2 linked regions of the Ovis aries genome follow. The protein of the gene in region 2 purifies or fractionates together with the protein of the main gene of each other region. This does not show direct contact. Links are inferred from orthologs where the notes say so. Each region holds a gene or a part of one and is shown on either strand. Other genes may lie near its edges.

The links. Proteins that work in one complex are often made in the same cells at the same time.
Region 1: the proteins of PHB1 (region 2) and SLC25A5 purify together in Homo sapiens (affinity purification with mass spectrometry; 3 studies listed by BioGRID and IntAct, with this or other methods). This does not show direct contact. The link is inferred for Ovis aries from reciprocal best matches to the Homo sapiens genes PHB1 and SLC25A5.

What each region holds. Positions count from the first base shown.
Region 1 is NC_056080.1:114,993,376-115,001,325, reverse strand, and holds SLC25A5 (ADP/ATP translocase 2), read left to right. Parts: upstream 1-3,365; coding exon 3,366-3,476; intron 3,477-4,455; coding exon 4,456-4,942; intron 4,943-5,120; coding exon 5,121-5,261; intron 5,262-5,658; coding exon 5,659-5,816; downstream 5,817-7,950.
Region 2 is NC_056064.1:36,924,448-36,932,475, forward strand, and holds the start of PHB1 (prohibitin 1), read left to right. Parts: upstream 1-3,857; 5' UTR 3,858-4,055; intron 4,056-4,601; exon of another isoform or gene 4,602-4,690; intron 4,691-5,124; 5' UTR 5,125-5,151; coding exon 5,152-5,239; intron 5,240-6,695; coding exon 6,696-6,857; intron 6,858-6,863; exon of another isoform or gene 6,864-7,053; intron 7,054-8,028.

The DNA.
Region 1 (7,950 bases), on a different chromosome or scaffold from region 2:
ATCATTATCATTGACATTAGTCCCTGTTTGCCTGGACTCTTGCTCCTGGTTTCTTTTCTTTTTCCTCTTTTTTTTTCTTTTGACTTTTTAATTTTTTTAACTTTCAGAAATAAAAATGTTGCCCACAAAAAAAAAAAAAAACAGTATAAAGAATTTCCATGTATCCTGCACTCAGCTTCTTCAAATGGTAACATCTTATATAACCACTGTAACTAAAAATAGTATTGGTAGAATATTATTAACTAATCTACAGATTATATGTCCAAATCTCACCAATAGTACCACCATGTCCTTTTTCTGGTCCAGGATCCAATCCAGGATCACACATTGTATTAACCTCTTTCTCCTTAGTCTCCTTTAATCTGTGACAGTTCCTCAGTCTCTTTTTCTTTCATGACCTTGACACTTTTGAGAACATCCAACTCCTTTAAGTATACCTGGTCATAGGCAGCCAGGAGAGCTCCAGCTCACAGTGAATTCAGCAAAATACCAAGTCATGGCATGGAGTCACTCTTAAATGTATTTCACCTTCAGTAAAACTACACTTAAGCACCCAAAGGCCGCTGCTGCTGCTGCTGCTGCTAAGTCACTTCAGTTGTGTCCGACTCTGTGCGACCCCATAAATGGCAGCTCACCAGGCTCCTCCACCCATGGGATTTTCCAGGCAAGAGTACTGGAGTAGGGTGCCATTGCCTTCTCCAACCCAAAGACTGAGAAGGGGCAAATTTTATGTAATTATTTGATCATCTTTTTGTGGAGAGCGAAATGTAACAGAACAGTAAATGTGGAGATCCTTGAAACAATAAGAGAGTTTTGGAGTTGAATATGGCAGGCATATCATGCTCAGTGGAAGCAGCAGATGTGGCCAAGGAAAAGCTAAAAAAGAAAAGGGTACATAGGTGATAGTGAGCTAGGTCAGGGTAATTAATATTTGAATAAAAATGCATTCATCAGAATGTCAAGAGTTCAGACTAGAAAGGTTTTGAATTGTATAGTGAAATGCATTCGAAAACCACCTCCCTCTAAACAAAATGCTGTTGATGTTTTGTTTTCACTGTTCACTCTCTCACCAGTAGAGGTAGAGGATTGGCTATCACTTTCAGAGAACACACTCTATCATTGAAACTGCACAGCAAGGTCATTTCTGTATCCAGCTGCATTTCTATTATAATCAACTAATGAGAAACAAGTGGCCTCTCCAGAACACTGGTCAAAGATAGCCCCCAGGATCAACAAAGCTGGAGTGAAAATTGCTCTTCTCTGAACATGTGCTGTGTGTGCTCATCACTTTGGATTGCTCGGGTTCATGGAAAGACTAATGAATTGCAAAGTATACTTAGAGGAAGAACCTGACATGCCCAGAGGAATCTTAGAGTTGGGTCCTTTAACAGGCAGATCTGGAGAAGGCGGGAGAGGGCAAGAAATTGAGTGGCATGCCATCTATGTTTTCAGTGTGCTGGGTACCTAGGGCTCAGCTACAGTGAGTATTTTCAACAGTTATTTCTGTAAACATGGCTGTGATGACTTAGACATAGGATTTGTGAGGACACCTTCAGCTTCTTTTCTGAATCTGAGGAAGGGCATTTAAGCTAACAAGTAGGTTTTTAAGGACATGTGTGGCAAACGTTTTCCCAGTGCAGAGATTAAGGGAGTCAACAAGCCCTTGTCTCTTGACGACAATGGGTGTGTCAATCTAGTTCTGTTGATTCCTCTAAACTTTTCTGGAGATTAGCAATCCACTCAATGCAAGAGTGCTTTACCTGGGCCCAGAGACCCACATACCAATCTAGTTCACACAACCTCTTAACCTTAACGATATACCCTCTATGCTTTGGCTTTTGGCTCAAATAATTTCCTAACCCTCCAGCCCAGTCCTTTTGAACGCTCCTCCAGTTTCCTCTGGCTTCACCAGCGGTCCCATCACTTCATGGCAAATAGATGGGGAAACAGTGGAAACAGTGGCTGACTTTACTTTTCTGGGCTCTAAAATCACTGCAGATGGTGATTGCAGCCATGAAATTAAAAGACACTTACTCCTTGGAAGGAAAGTTATGACCAAACTAGAAAGCATATTAAAAAGCAGAGACATCACTTTGCCAACAAAGGTCTGTCTAGTCAAGGCTATGGTTTTTCCAGTGGTCATGTTTGGATGTGAGAGTTGGACTATAAAGAAAGCTGAGCGCTGAAGAACTGATGCTTTTGAACTGTAGTGTTGGAGAAGACTCTTGAGAGTCCCTTGGATTGCAAGGAGATCCAACCAGTCCATCCTAAAGGAGATCAGTCCTGGGTGTTCACTGGAAGGACTGATGTTGAAGCTGAAAGTCCAATACTTTGGCCACCTCATGTGAAGAGCTGACTCATTGGAAAAGACCCTGATGCTGGGAAAGATCGAGGGCAGGAGGAGAAGGGGACGATAGAGGATGAGATGGTTGGATGGCATCACCGACTCGATGGACATGGGTTTGGGTGGACTCCAGGAGTTGGTGATGGACAGGGAGGCCTGGCATGCTGCGGTTCATGGGGTCGCAAAGAGTCGGACACGACTGAGTGACTGAACTGACCTGAACAGAACACCGGCGAAGTTCCAGGCCAGGGCCAGACTTAGGGTGAGGAGAGTGAGGTACTTGGCCGGGCGCCAAATGTTAGCGGACACCAAACAACTCAGGAATCAAAATGAACGATTCTTTTTAATGCACCATTTTAAAAATCCAAAGGAATGCAAAAATCCTTGATGAACATTTCAAATTTCTGAATAAAGACAGGCTCCCTTCTTGCACTGGCAGGGCCCTGCCTCACTTGCCTCACCATCACCCTAGCCCTGGGGCTCCAAGTAAACTTGATTTACAAAAACAGGCGACCGACCAGCGCGCCACAATTTATCTATATGAATTTTTAAAATATTGCATTCAATATTATTTCTCTTGACAACCAAATTTGGGTAGCGAGGGGGGGTATGTTTTTTGTTGGTTCTTTAGGGTCCCCTTAAATACTGCGCCTCACCCTGGTCCAGGCACACCGTGACCTCTCCCCCTCCGCGCCCCGGAGCCTCCCCTGGGGTCCCGCGTCCGGGTCAGGTACTCTGGGGCCGCCGCCTCCTCGGGCCGGGTCAGGTGCTGCGGACGAGCCCGGGCAGCGCGGAGGGCGGTCCCTGCCACACTCCACGGCTCCTCCCTCCGCGCGCTCAGCCACTCAGCGGCCCCGCCGCCCTGCGCGCCGGGGCTCAGGGCCCGCCCCCGACGCCGGCCGCCCAGGCGCCGGCTCCCCCTATATAAATCAGCCATTTGCTTCGCTCCGCCCCAGAGCCCCGGAGTCCAAGCCGGTTCCTCGTCGATCTTTCAGTCGTCCGCTTACTCTTTCCTTCCAAGATGACAGATGCCGCCGTGTCCTTCGCCAAGGACTTCCTGGCAGGTGGAGTGGCGGCGGCCATCTCCAAGACCGCGGTCGCGCCCATCGAGCGGGTGAAGCTGCTGCTGCAGGTATGTCTCGGAATCCGAGAGCCTGACCAGGAAGTGGGGGGAGGGGCCGCGCGGGAAGCGGTGGTCCGGGGCCTGGGGGGAACCAGCCCTCGAGATCTGCCCAGGGAAGTGGCAGCGTGGGAGCAGGGGTGGCCGCGGGGTAGGACCAAAAAAGGCAGACTTGAGAGAGGTGTTTTAGTGATGTGAACTTTAGGATCTCGGGAAGGGTCGGGGGCGGAGGGTGGGCGGAGGAAGACCAGGGCCTGGGCATCCCAGAGGCAGCGAACTCGGATGGGGCAGCCCAGGAGTGACTGGCTCCCGGGCCTTGTGTCAAGGGCGAAGACGCTGAAAAGAGGGACACCTGCCTGTACCGAGGACCTCAGGGTCGTGGCAAGGAGATAACAGCCTGGGGGAGGCCACGCGGTCGGTGGAGCGGCCTCGCAGCCGGCAGCCGCGCTCAGACCGGCCGGGCCGGAAGCCGGCGCCGGGAAGCGCGTGTCCCTTGTGCGTCTGCCCCCGCGCGGCCGCTGGCGCGTTCCCGCGGCCTGGCGGCGCGCTCTGCTACTCCGGCTCTAGAGGGCGCGCCCGCACAGGCTGACGGGTGGTGGCCCTCAGGTCACCTCCAGGAGAGGGGGACCCAAGCGGGAGGGAAGCTGCTCCCAGGGACCTTAGGCGAAGACCACGGTCACCAGGGTGACCGCGCCTGATGTGGGACGCGCCCTAATGTCTCTGATCCAGGGTCTGAGATAATGACCTTTCTCCCAGGTCTAAAGGTCACAGCTCCGCTTGAGGGTGGCACCTCCTCACCCAGAGGGGTGGAGGCTTAATGCTTCTAGCTGTGACAGCGGCAGAAGGTTAGGAGGGTCCCACCTGTGGGATCTAGAAGGCCAGACTTGGGGCAGGTGGGAGCCAGCTAACCTTTAAGGGTGTCCGTTGAGATGCTATATTCTCTTCCCTTCTTGTGATTATCACTCTTTCTGTTGGCCTCCTTGTCTGTCAGGTGCAGCATGCCAGCAAGCAAATCACTGCAGATAAGCAGTACAAGGGCATCATAGACTGCGTGGTTCGTATCCCCAAGGAGCAGGGAGTCCTGTCCTTCTGGCGTGGTAACCTGGCCAATGTGATCAGATACTTCCCCACCCAGGCTCTCAACTTTGCCTTCAAAGATAAATACAAGCAGATCTTCCTGGGTGGTGTGGATAAGAGGACCCAGTTTTGGCGCTACTTTGCAGGAAATCTGGCATCAGGTGGTGCCGCCGGGGCCACGTCCCTGTGTTTCGTGTACCCTCTCGACTTTGCCCGTACCCGTCTAGCAGCCGACGTGGGCAAAGCTGGAGCTGAAAGGGAATTCAGAGGCCTCGGTGACTGCCTGGTTAAGATCTACAAATCTGACGGGATTAGAGGCCTGTACCAAGGCTTTAACGTGTCTGTGCAGGGTATTATCATCTACCGAGCTGCCTACTTCGGTATATATGACACTGCGAAGGGTAAGTTTGCCCGTGGGCTTCAGAACTGTCCATGTGAGAACTTTTAAAGGGTTATCTGAAGGCAGCCAGTGTCACCCCGTACAGCCCTTTGTGTACAGAGATGTTGGGGGTGGGGGACATGGAAAACAAGTCAGGAAGACTCTGCTTACTGGTAAAAGTGTCTCTCTTCTATTCTCAGGAATGCTTCCAGATCCCAAGAACACTCATATCTTCATCAGCTGGATGATCGCACAGTCAGTCACGGCGGTTGCTGGGTTGACTTCCTATCCGTTCGACACTGTGCGTCGCCGCATGATGATGCAGTCAGGGCGCAAAGGAAGTAAGTTCCACTGGAGCAAAAGATACAGATGTGGGCATGGCACATGGGCACAGACCAGCCATGCCTGCCTTTGAAAATGGCAGTCTGTTGAGATCCCAGGTGGGGTTGATTGGTCTGTGTCCACTGCACAGTCTCCTTTCAGCAGGCCCTTTGGGTGCCTATGCCCAAGGGGGCTTGCCTGGTGTTAGAGGTTAAGGCCAGCAGGTTGTCTGCACCTCCCCGTTGTCCTTTAGTCACCATATTAAGATTGCAGTATTGGCCACACTAATGTGTAAATGTTGGATTTTTTAAAACTGACAATAGCTCTTAGAGGTGGGGCTCTGGGTTAGTCTGGTTAAACTTAAGGACTTTTCACCTCAGCCTCGGGTCACCAACCCTTTGTCTTTGTCCTTTGCAGCTGATATCATGTACACAGGCACGCTTGACTGCTGGAGGAAGATTGCTCGTGACGAAGGAGCCAAAGCCTTTTTCAAAGGCGCGTGGTCCAATGTTCTCAGAGGCATGGGCGGGGCTTTTGTGCTTGTCCTGTATGATGAAATCAAGAAGTTCACCTAAGTTATTTCCTAGTTTTTCTCCTGTGACTAGGCATGTTGTATTATATAACATATCTTGAGCATTCCTGACAGACTGTTAGCTGTCTATTTATCTATGGCAACTATTTACTGGTTGAAAATGGGAAGCAATAATATTCACCTGACCAGTTTTCTCTTAAAGCCATTTCCATGATGACGATGGGACCCAGTTTTTTATTTCAGTCACTCCTGGCAAATAACAAATTTGAAGAAATAAAAAATACCTGGAATAGTTTTGTTTGTGGTTTATTTTCATTTGAAAGTACATTAGATAATTTAGTAAGGGCTATGTTTGGGTAAATGCTGCAGTATATCCTGAGGTGATGAGCTTTCTTCTAAAACCAATCTTCAGCCATCCACTTAGCAAAGAACACCTTGGCTGTGTGACCCATCGACATTCCAGACCCAGAGCAACCGAAAACTGTTGGTCCATTGCCTGTGGACAGTGACAGCTAATGAGCTTTCTCTGAAAAGCACTCTGGAACCACCTTTCCTATCTTGTGCTTATTAATGAAATACTAGCTGAATTTTACACTTGAATTCCATCTCATTTCATGATGAAATTCATTCCTCCATGAGTTTCATGTCATTTAAACAAAAGTGTTGTGAAAGTGAAGTCGCTCAGTCGTGTCCAACTCTTTGCGACCCCATAGACTGTAGCCTACCAGGCTCCTCTGTCCATGGGATTTTCCAGGCAATAGTACTGGAGTGGATTGCCATTTCCTTCAGGGGATTTTCCTGACCCAGGGATCAAACCCAGGCCTATATTGCAGGTGGATTCTTTACTGTCAGCCACCAGGGAAGCCCATAAGGTGGTAACAGCAATTTTTGTCCAATTGCCTTCCCTCCTCCATCTTTACCTGTCTCAAGTCAATCTAATCCTGTTCAAAGCAGAGGATTAGAACTGGCATAGTTAGGCAGTGCTGAGATGGCAATACTGTTAAAGATTATGGAGAGAGCTGCCAAGAACCCAAATCTCACTACAAAAAGGAAACTGCATCTACATTTTGGCTGGCATTTTAATCAGCCCAGTTAATGGAGGATGCGTGTTTCTTTTGGAAGAGTCCTTCCTTGGGATCCACATGAGAGTGTGTTTGCAATTTCTGCAGCTCCTGTAGCCTCAGAAATACAGGGATTTTACCTAAAACATGAGGTTTGTAGGAAGCACCATGGCTGGCAAACCACAACATTCAAAGTAGAAAATGATAGGTAATCCACTTGCACAGGTGAAAGTTCCTGAGGAATGCGACATAACGCTAGCATGTTTATCTGCCACTCATAGATAGGGTCTGCATGGCAGGTGTTATTGCCCACAGGATCCTAGTGTTTTTTGTTATGTGCCACCTGGCCAAGCACCTGAGTCAACACAATGTACACATACCAAGTTATATACCTTAAATATACACAATGTTTTTATATAGTGGATTTATCCCTTACCTTCAGTGATACTGACAATAAAAAATATCTTAGTAAAGTTGCTAAAAAAAAAAAACCACAAGACTACTGGTATCAAGCCTGGATTCTGCCACAACTGTGCTGTTGGATAAGTTAATTTCAAGCCTCAGTTTTCCTCATCTATAAAATGAGGATACTAATAATGCCTGCCTTTGAGAGTTGTTTCAAGGATTAAAGGAGATTCCATTTCGCTCCCTGGGTCAGGAAGATTCCCTGGAGAAGGAAATGGCAACCCACTCCAATATTCTTGCCTGGAGAATTCCATGGACAGAGGAGCCGGGTGGGCTACAGTCCAAGGGGTCACAAAGAGTTGTACGTGACTGAGTGAATACCACCACATCTACCATAGAACATACATAACGTTGTAAGTGGTAACTATGATAATTATTAACAGACAGTTAAGGTTTCAGGGGCTCCAAAATCAGAAGTACCTGGATTTGAATCCCAGCTCTGCTGCTTACTTAACTGTATGGCCTTGGGCAAGTCACTTATCCTAGGTCTCAGTTTCTTCATCTGTAAAATGGGGATATAACAGTGCTAGCCATATTTCCTTGGAGTCTTGGGAGTGAGAGTTAAATAACATAAAGCATGTAAGGCAATCAATGTAGTGCCCGGCATCTAGTAAGCTCTCTGATGTGAGTTTTTCATAATTAGACATCCAT
Region 2 (8,028 bases):
TAGACAGCATACTAAAAGGCATAGACATTACTTTGCCAACAAACATTCGTGTAGTCAAAACTATGGTTTTTCCAGTAGTCATGTATGGATGTGAGAGTTGGACTATAAAGAAAGCTGAGTGCCAAAGAATTGATGCTTTTGAACTGTGGTGTTGCAGAAGACTCTTGAGAATCCCTTGGACAGCAAGGAGATCCAACCAGTCCATCCTAAAGGAAATCAGTCATGAATATTCATTGGAAGGACTGATGCTGACACTGAAACTCCAATACTTTGGCCACCTGATGCAAAGAACCAATTCATTTGCAAAGATCCTGATGCTGGGAAAGATTGAAGGTGGGAGAAGAAGGGGACAACAAAGGATGAGATGGTTGGATGGCATCACCCATTCAATGGACATTAGTCTGAGTAAACTCCAGGAGTTGGTGATGGGCAGGGAGGCCTGGTGTGCTACAGTCCATGGGGTGGCAAAGACTTGGACACCACTGAGCAACTGAACTGAACTGAATTGAAATAAGACTGTGTATTTATGAAGCAAGTGGTTCACAGTCAGTGTTCAAGATTATTTCTTCTTAACACCAACGTGCACACCTGGCTGGAAGAAGAGCTGAAGGGTAAATGCCTTGTGTAGCAATAAATTGGATCTACCCCTGAAGCTGGTGCCCCAAATCTGCTCTTCCCTAAATTTTTAAAATATTAATTTATTTTAATTAGAGGCTAATTACTTTACAACATTGTAGTGTTTGTTTGTTTGTTTTTTGCCAAACATTGACATGAATCAGCCGTGGATGTACATGTATCCCCCATCCTAAGCCTTCCTCCCCCCTCCCTCCCCATCCCATTCCTCTGGGTTGTCCCAGTGCACCGGCTTTGAGTGCCCTGTTTCATGCATTGAACTTGGACTGGTCGTCTATTTCACGTACGGTAATATACATGTTTCAATGCTACTCTCTCAAATCATCCCACCCTCGCCCTCTCCCACAGAGTCCAAAAATCTGTTCTTTATATATGTGTCTCTTGCTGTCTCGCATATAGGGTCATCCTTACCATCTTTCTAAATTCCATATATATGCATTAATATACTATATTGGTGTTTTTCTTTCTGACTTACTTCGCTCTGTATAATAAGCTCCAGTTTCATTCACCTCATTAGAACTGATTCAAATGCATTCTTTTTAATAGCTGAGTAATATTCCACTGTGCATATGTACCACAGCTTTGTTATCCATTCATCTGCTGATGGACATCTAGGTTGCTTCCATGTCCTAGCTATCATAAACAGTGCTGTGATGAAAACTGGTGTAAATGTGCCTCTTTCAGATCTGGTTTCCTTGGTGTGTATGCCCAGCAGTGGGATTGCTGGGTCGTATGGCAATTCTATTTCCAGTTTTTTAAGGAATCTCCACACTGCCCCAATGCTGCTCTTCCTTAACTTTTGCCTCAGCCCAATTAAATTCTTCCCAGATAACCCCCTCAGTATGATTATCCTTTATCCTTCCCATCTCTCCACCTACAACCAGGCCAGTCCCACACAGTGCCCTCATGTCACATGAGCTTTCCTGTAACACAGGAAAAGCTTTCCCTTTGCTTCCCAGGACATAGAGGGGAAGTGGAAACAGGGCTTAGACCTGGAAGATGTGTGATCCAGTTCAGTCGGGCTCTGACTAGATGAGTGACCCCAAACAAGTGATTTAACCTCTGAACTTTGACTTTATCTGCAGAACATAAGGGGTTGTAATGATGCTCATGTGGGATGTTGTAGATACACAGACTTGAAAGTTATAAAACATACAAAAATTGTCGTTGTTGTTGTTGTTTCGTATTTTCAGCATTCCTGCTAGTGAGATGAGAATAGAAGCAGACAATACTAAGGCTATTCTTGCAGGATTCTGGAGCATCCTGCTTTGCGTTTCCTGGCCACAGTCTGCCTAGCCAGCCACATCAATGCTCTTCATTATTCATTCATTCAATAAATACTTATTGAGTGCCCACTGTGTGCCAAGCACTGTTGTACATTCTGGGAACAGAACAACGAAGACAGTAGACTAAATATTCAGCCCTCATAGAGCTTGTATTCTGGTAGGCAGAGGAGAAGCCTGTGGGCCCTGAGGGTAAATACCTACCACCTGCAGAGTGCTGCCCATGCATATCTCTGGCCCTTTGTTACCCCACTGGTGCCAAGCGGGGACAAAAAAGAGAGACAGAGAGGAGAGGAATGCAGGAAAAAGAAGTTGAAAGAATCCAATCATACTAGAATCCAGAAACGGGCCTGGTTTCGTTAAAATTAAGTGTCCATACACCACTTAGCTACCTCAGTTAAGAATGCAAAACAACAAATCTAATTATGAGGAAACATTAGAGAAACCCAATACCAGAACATTCTTTTTTTCTATTTTAATATAACAAAAGGCAAGGAAGCCTGAGGACAAATTAAGAAGACTAAAGAGACAGGAAAAATAAATACAGTACCAAATCTTGACTGCCTTCTATATTGGAGGCTGAGAGGAGAAGACTGCTATAAAGTTCATTACTGGGTCAATCGAAAAAATGGGATGTAGAAGGTATATTAAATTTATTCAAGTTATGTAATAGGATATCCTTATTCTGTGAAAATACAAAGAGAGAGAAAAAAGGAGGCAGAGAGAGAGGAGGGAACAAATGATAAGATGTGAAAATTAATAAGCAGAAACCTCATTTTAAATTGAGTCAGGAGAACAGAAAGGGGAACTCTCACAACCTACCAACAGGTAGAGACTCAACAGGAAGAGACAGCTTTGCATCTCCAATAGAAAGGTTACTACTTTAGTTTCCAGCAGAAGGAAGGAAAATTTTCTCCTTGCTCAGAAACAGCCCAGCCAATAAGAAAGAGACTGTCACAACTGAGACAACGAAAAGCCACACTTTTTGATTCCCAGTTCCCTCTAACTTTGTTTATGACAGTCCCTTCCAAGTCACCCTTCTCCACTAAAAAAGAAAAGTCCTCTGCTTTGTTCTGCAGACTTGCCTGTGGGTTGCCATAGATTGCTCAGCCAGAATTGCAATTCTTTGCTGTTCTCAAGTAAACCCAATTTGCTGATAAAATAACTGGCTATTTTATTGCTTTAGATCAAAAAAGTAAATGGAGCAAATTGTTAGCAGTAGGTGAATTTGAGTAAAGATTACACATCTTCTTTGCACTATCTTTGCAAATTCTCCAAATAAGACTTTTACAAATGTGTCCCCCGAACCCAGACTTTAAGCCCAATCCCTTTTTTAAATTGTTGCATGACCCTGAATGACTCCCTTCCTCTCTCTGGACCTCATTTTCTAGTCCAGATGGTTTCTAAGGTTCTCTCTGACTCTGGCAATCAATGTCCCACAACTCAGGTCGCTTCTAGACAGGGCTTTGGAAAGAAGATATCTCCTCTGTCTCTCAGTCCACCAGTTACTTCACAACTTTATCCCCCATGCACACCCGCCCTCTTTCATCAGCCATAAACTTGCCCTTGCCCATCTCGTCCACCAGCCAGCAGGCCCAGCTACTCTTTCTGAGGGCCTTAGGGCTCATCTGGTAGCCTCCAGCTTCAGTTCACAACAGGCACGTGCATTTATCCCCCAAGAAACTACAGCCCCCCAAATGCTTTGCGGCAATCTCTGGGCCTTCAGTACTACCAAAGACAAAAGGTTTTTCAGCGCGGGTCAACCCCCGCATGGCTTTTTGGGAATTGTAGTTCATCTGCGAAGAGTCTGGGAACAACAGTAAGGCAGCAAGCCACCCTTCCCAGAGTGCATCGCGCTCGTCCTCACCAATCCGAAGCGCGGATCTTGGAAGTAGGGCGGGGACATGGAGGAGCTGTCCGGCGCACGCGCTGTCTGTGGCTGGGGAATTCATGTGGAGGTCAGAGTGGAAGCAGGTGAGAAAGCTGGGGAGCGGCTGTGGTCCGCGTTCTGGCGTCTCTGCAGTCCCCCCTCTGCGTTCCCATTCTCCTCAAGTTTGGGCGGGCGGAGTGTGTGCCTGGGTCCGCCTCGTGTCGGAGGGGAAGGGGGTGAGCCTGGGAGGAGCCAGGAGTTACGTAGAGGTAGGTAGGTGTGTATGGGGGCAGGGTGAGGAATAATCCAGAAGATATTAGGAATGGAAAGGCCGAGGGGTCAGCACTAGGCGTCCTGATCACGGGAATGGAATAGTTAAGTGCACGGATAGAGATGAAGATACTCAGAAGTTGAGGCCTGAGAAGGAGGGGTAGAGGCTGAAGTGGCCGACGACGATGGGGGCGGGGAAAGACAAAGTTTCAGTGCAAGAGCAGATTGTAGAGGTCCGCCGCGCTCCCGTCCACCCCGCTTCTGCCCCCACCCCCACCTGTTCCAGGGCTGTTGCTCGCGGTGCAGCTGTTTAGTACATTTTGGGCCCTGTTATTTCTCGTGATTTGTTGACCCCAGAACGTCATCCAGAGCCTGCTTCCATAATAACAGGTTATTCATTCTTCATACCTGATGTTGAGAAACCGTGGTGAGGAGTTAAGCTGTGTCTTCTAGAATTAGACTTCCAGGTTCTAATCGTCTTTGCCTCCTTCATAGCTGCGTGATCTTAGGCTTTTCTTGTAACTTAACCTCTCTTTGTGCTTCAGTTTCCTCATCTGTGTAGTCCTCTACTTCATAGGGGTTGATGTGAAGATTAAATACACCAATTGATGTTAGAAGACTGCCTATTGTAAAGGTTAGCTGCTACTGTTGTTTTGTTGTTGGAATCACGTTCTTTTCTGAATCAAAATCACACAGAACCAACCCCACAGCCTCTCTTCTGGGGCCTGCAGGTCCAGGAGATGAGAGGCTCTTTTGGTATGGTGCTAAGTTTTCTATGGGTAATCCAACCCATGTCTCCTTCCCATTTGGAACCAATACCCCAGACGCCATTTCTTAAGTAGTAGAAAAAGAAGAAAGTAGCGGAAAAAGAAGATCAGAGGAATTGATTATACACTTTTACAAGCTGCAGAATGTTATTTATGAAATGTCTTTCAGTTGAAGATTTAGAGCTCTCAGGAGTGGGGAAATAAATAGCTAGCTTGAGAAATGCATGTGATGCCTCAGAGAGGGCTTCCTCTGAGGATTGGGGATTGAGTTGTTTTGTTTGTTTTGTTTTTACCCCCTTAGGTGTGAGTGGGTCCAGCCCCAGGAGACATGGCTGCCAAAGTGTTTGAGTCCATTGGCAAGTTTGGGCTTGCCTTAGCCGTTGCAGGAGGCGTGGTGAACTCTGCCTTGTATAATGGTGAGGCACTGAGGGGTGGTGGGTCACTGACCTTCGCCAGAGGATTTTCATTGGTCTGCCTAGCCCATGTGACACTCCTGTTGGCAGCCACTTGCTGTGAATATATTTGACCAAGAAGGCTCACCTGCTGCCATCCTGCACCATATGATGGCCTTGTCATCAGAACCTCTGTCCTTGGAGCCTTAGGTTCTCTCAGAACCTTTCTTTACAAAGAGCCTCCCAACCTAGTTGGGTGTTTCCACTTTCTCTTGTTAAAGTATCAGTATGTCAGGATTTTGCTGGCCAGTTGAAATGGAGAGTCTGTTCTCTTCTGCCTATGTGGGGAGTAACTCAGCAAGGGCTTTAGACCTTTGGTGACCTTGATCTGAGCAAAAACTTTTGCTCTGCTCTAGTTGAGTTGTTCCCAAGAAAATATCTTTGAGATGCATTGCCCAGGTTTTAACAGTGTAACCAGGCTTTAAGCTGTCTTTTGAGGACGTCCCTGGCAGTCCAGTGGTTAAGACTCTGTCCTTCCATTGCAGGGAGTGCAGATTTGCTCTCTGGTTGACGAATTAAGATCCTGTAGGTGGAGCGGTGTGGCCAAAAATTTAAAAAATAAAAACAGCTAGGTTTTCTTCCACTTTCCTATGTGACCTTAGGCAAGTCACCTTCTCCTCCATAGGACGCAGGTTTCTCATTGGTCAAGCAGCAGGATTGAACTAGTTTATGTCTAAGATACTTCCTGCTTTGATATTCTCTTAACTTTTCACTGTTGGAAAGCAGCAATAGATTGACCCATCTCACGCGAGACTCTGACAGCAGGAGGATTACTTTCAGAGTGAAGATACTGGACCAACTATAAAGCCCAAAAAGGCAGAGACAGAAAGTGGCTGATCAGAAAAGCCTGCTCTGCTTCTGTGGCCCAGCTTTATACTCTGATCTTTTTGGCCACCCTGCATGGCTAGACTGTAATCACCATCATTAATTTCTCTCTGAAATTAGCAAGACAGCTCTATAACCCCTTCAGATTTTAGAGAAACCAAGCTGTTGGAAAGAAAAAAATGAGGACTTCCAAATTTTAGGATTGCCATAGGAAGGGTGCTACTTCTGGGAATACTGGGTTAAATTGGAACCAGGATGGACTGAGTTTTAGAAGGAAGTTTGGGGAGCTGGTTCCTAGGAATGTGTTGGTGGGAGTTCACGGGTGGAGTGGTTAATCAGAAAATCAGCAGCCAGTTGTTTCAAGGAGGAAGAATGCTGAGAATAGATCCTGTTACCAAAGTCCTTAGGAGGACACAGGACAGAAAGTGATTGCTTTGTTTCGTAGCTGTTAAGAAGCCTCTGGAGTCCTGAAGTGTGGGAAGACAGAGCAAGAGACTTACTATATAATCAGAAAACACCAGGGGCCTTTCAGACACGATCCTTTTGGTTAAGGGTGAGGGGATTTTTGTGACCCATTGTTATCCTTCATTCCCAGTGGATGCTGGGCACAGAGCTGTCATCTTTGACCGGTTCCGGGGAGTGCAGGACATTGTCGTAGGAGAAGGGACTCACTTCCTCATCCCTTGGGTACAGAAACCAATTATCTTTGACTGCCGCTCTCGACCACGTAATGTGCCAGTAATCACTGGTAGCAAAGGTAAGTCTCATCTGTGGGTCAGGTAAAGTGGAGTGTGTGGAACAGGTGCTGTGGGATCCAGAATGGGTTGAACTTCCCTAAATATTTTTCCTGAAGAGTTTTATGTGGCTACAGAAAAAGAAGTATACAAGGATGCCTGAAGAGACATTATGAATTCAGTTCCAGACCCCTGCAACAAAGCAAATGTTGTAATAAAGTGAGTCACACAAATATTTTTGTTTCCCAGTGCATATAGAATAGAAGTTATGTTTATCCCATACTGTATCCTGTTACAGGTGCAACAGCTCTATCTCTAAAGAAACAGTGTACATACCATGATTAAAAAATACCTTATGGCTAAAAGATGCTAACCATCATCTGAGCCTTCAGTGAATTATAATAGTAACATCACAGATCACCATAGTGAATGTAATAATATTGGAAAGTTTGGAATGTTGTTAAGAGTTGCCAAAATGTGACTCAGAGAGACTTTCTTGGTAGTTTAGAATCTGCCTTGCAATGCAGGGGATACCGGTTCGATCCCCAGTCAGTGAACTAGAGCCCATGCAACTAAGGCTAGAGAGTCCCCGTATTGCAGCAAAAGATCCCATGTGCCACAACTAAGACCCAAAGCAGCTAAGTAAGTATCTTTAAAAATGTGATACAGACATGAAGTGAGCAGGTGCTGTTAGAAAAATGATGGTGGTAAACTTGCTTGATAAAGTGTTGCCCCAGACCTTCAATTTGTAGGAAATACAGTGTATGCGAAGCACAAATAAATGAGCTGTGCCTGTATATTCAAGATACACACACAACTGTATGAATTTAGGGAAATGGGCGGATGTATATCAGTAGTCACATCGCAATCCAGCTTTAAAGAAATCTGAGTGTGCCTCTGCTCTCGCGGTTGGCCCTTCCCATCAGCTCTTGCCCCCGGGGTGACTGTACGCTGATCCAGCCGTTATGTTGCCTTCTCAGCTGGCTTGCCCTTGGCCTTGCTTCTAGACCTGTGTTTCCAGCAGTGTTGGCCCCACACTGTTACCTCCTGGGCCGGGACCCACACCCTGAGCAACTTGGTGTCTGACATGCCACCAACTCCCTGGTTGGAGCCCGAAATGAATTATTGTCACGGTTCTCCCCTCCCTATCGTGCACGCAGAGGTGCACGGCAGTAAATGGAGCGGCAGGTGCTG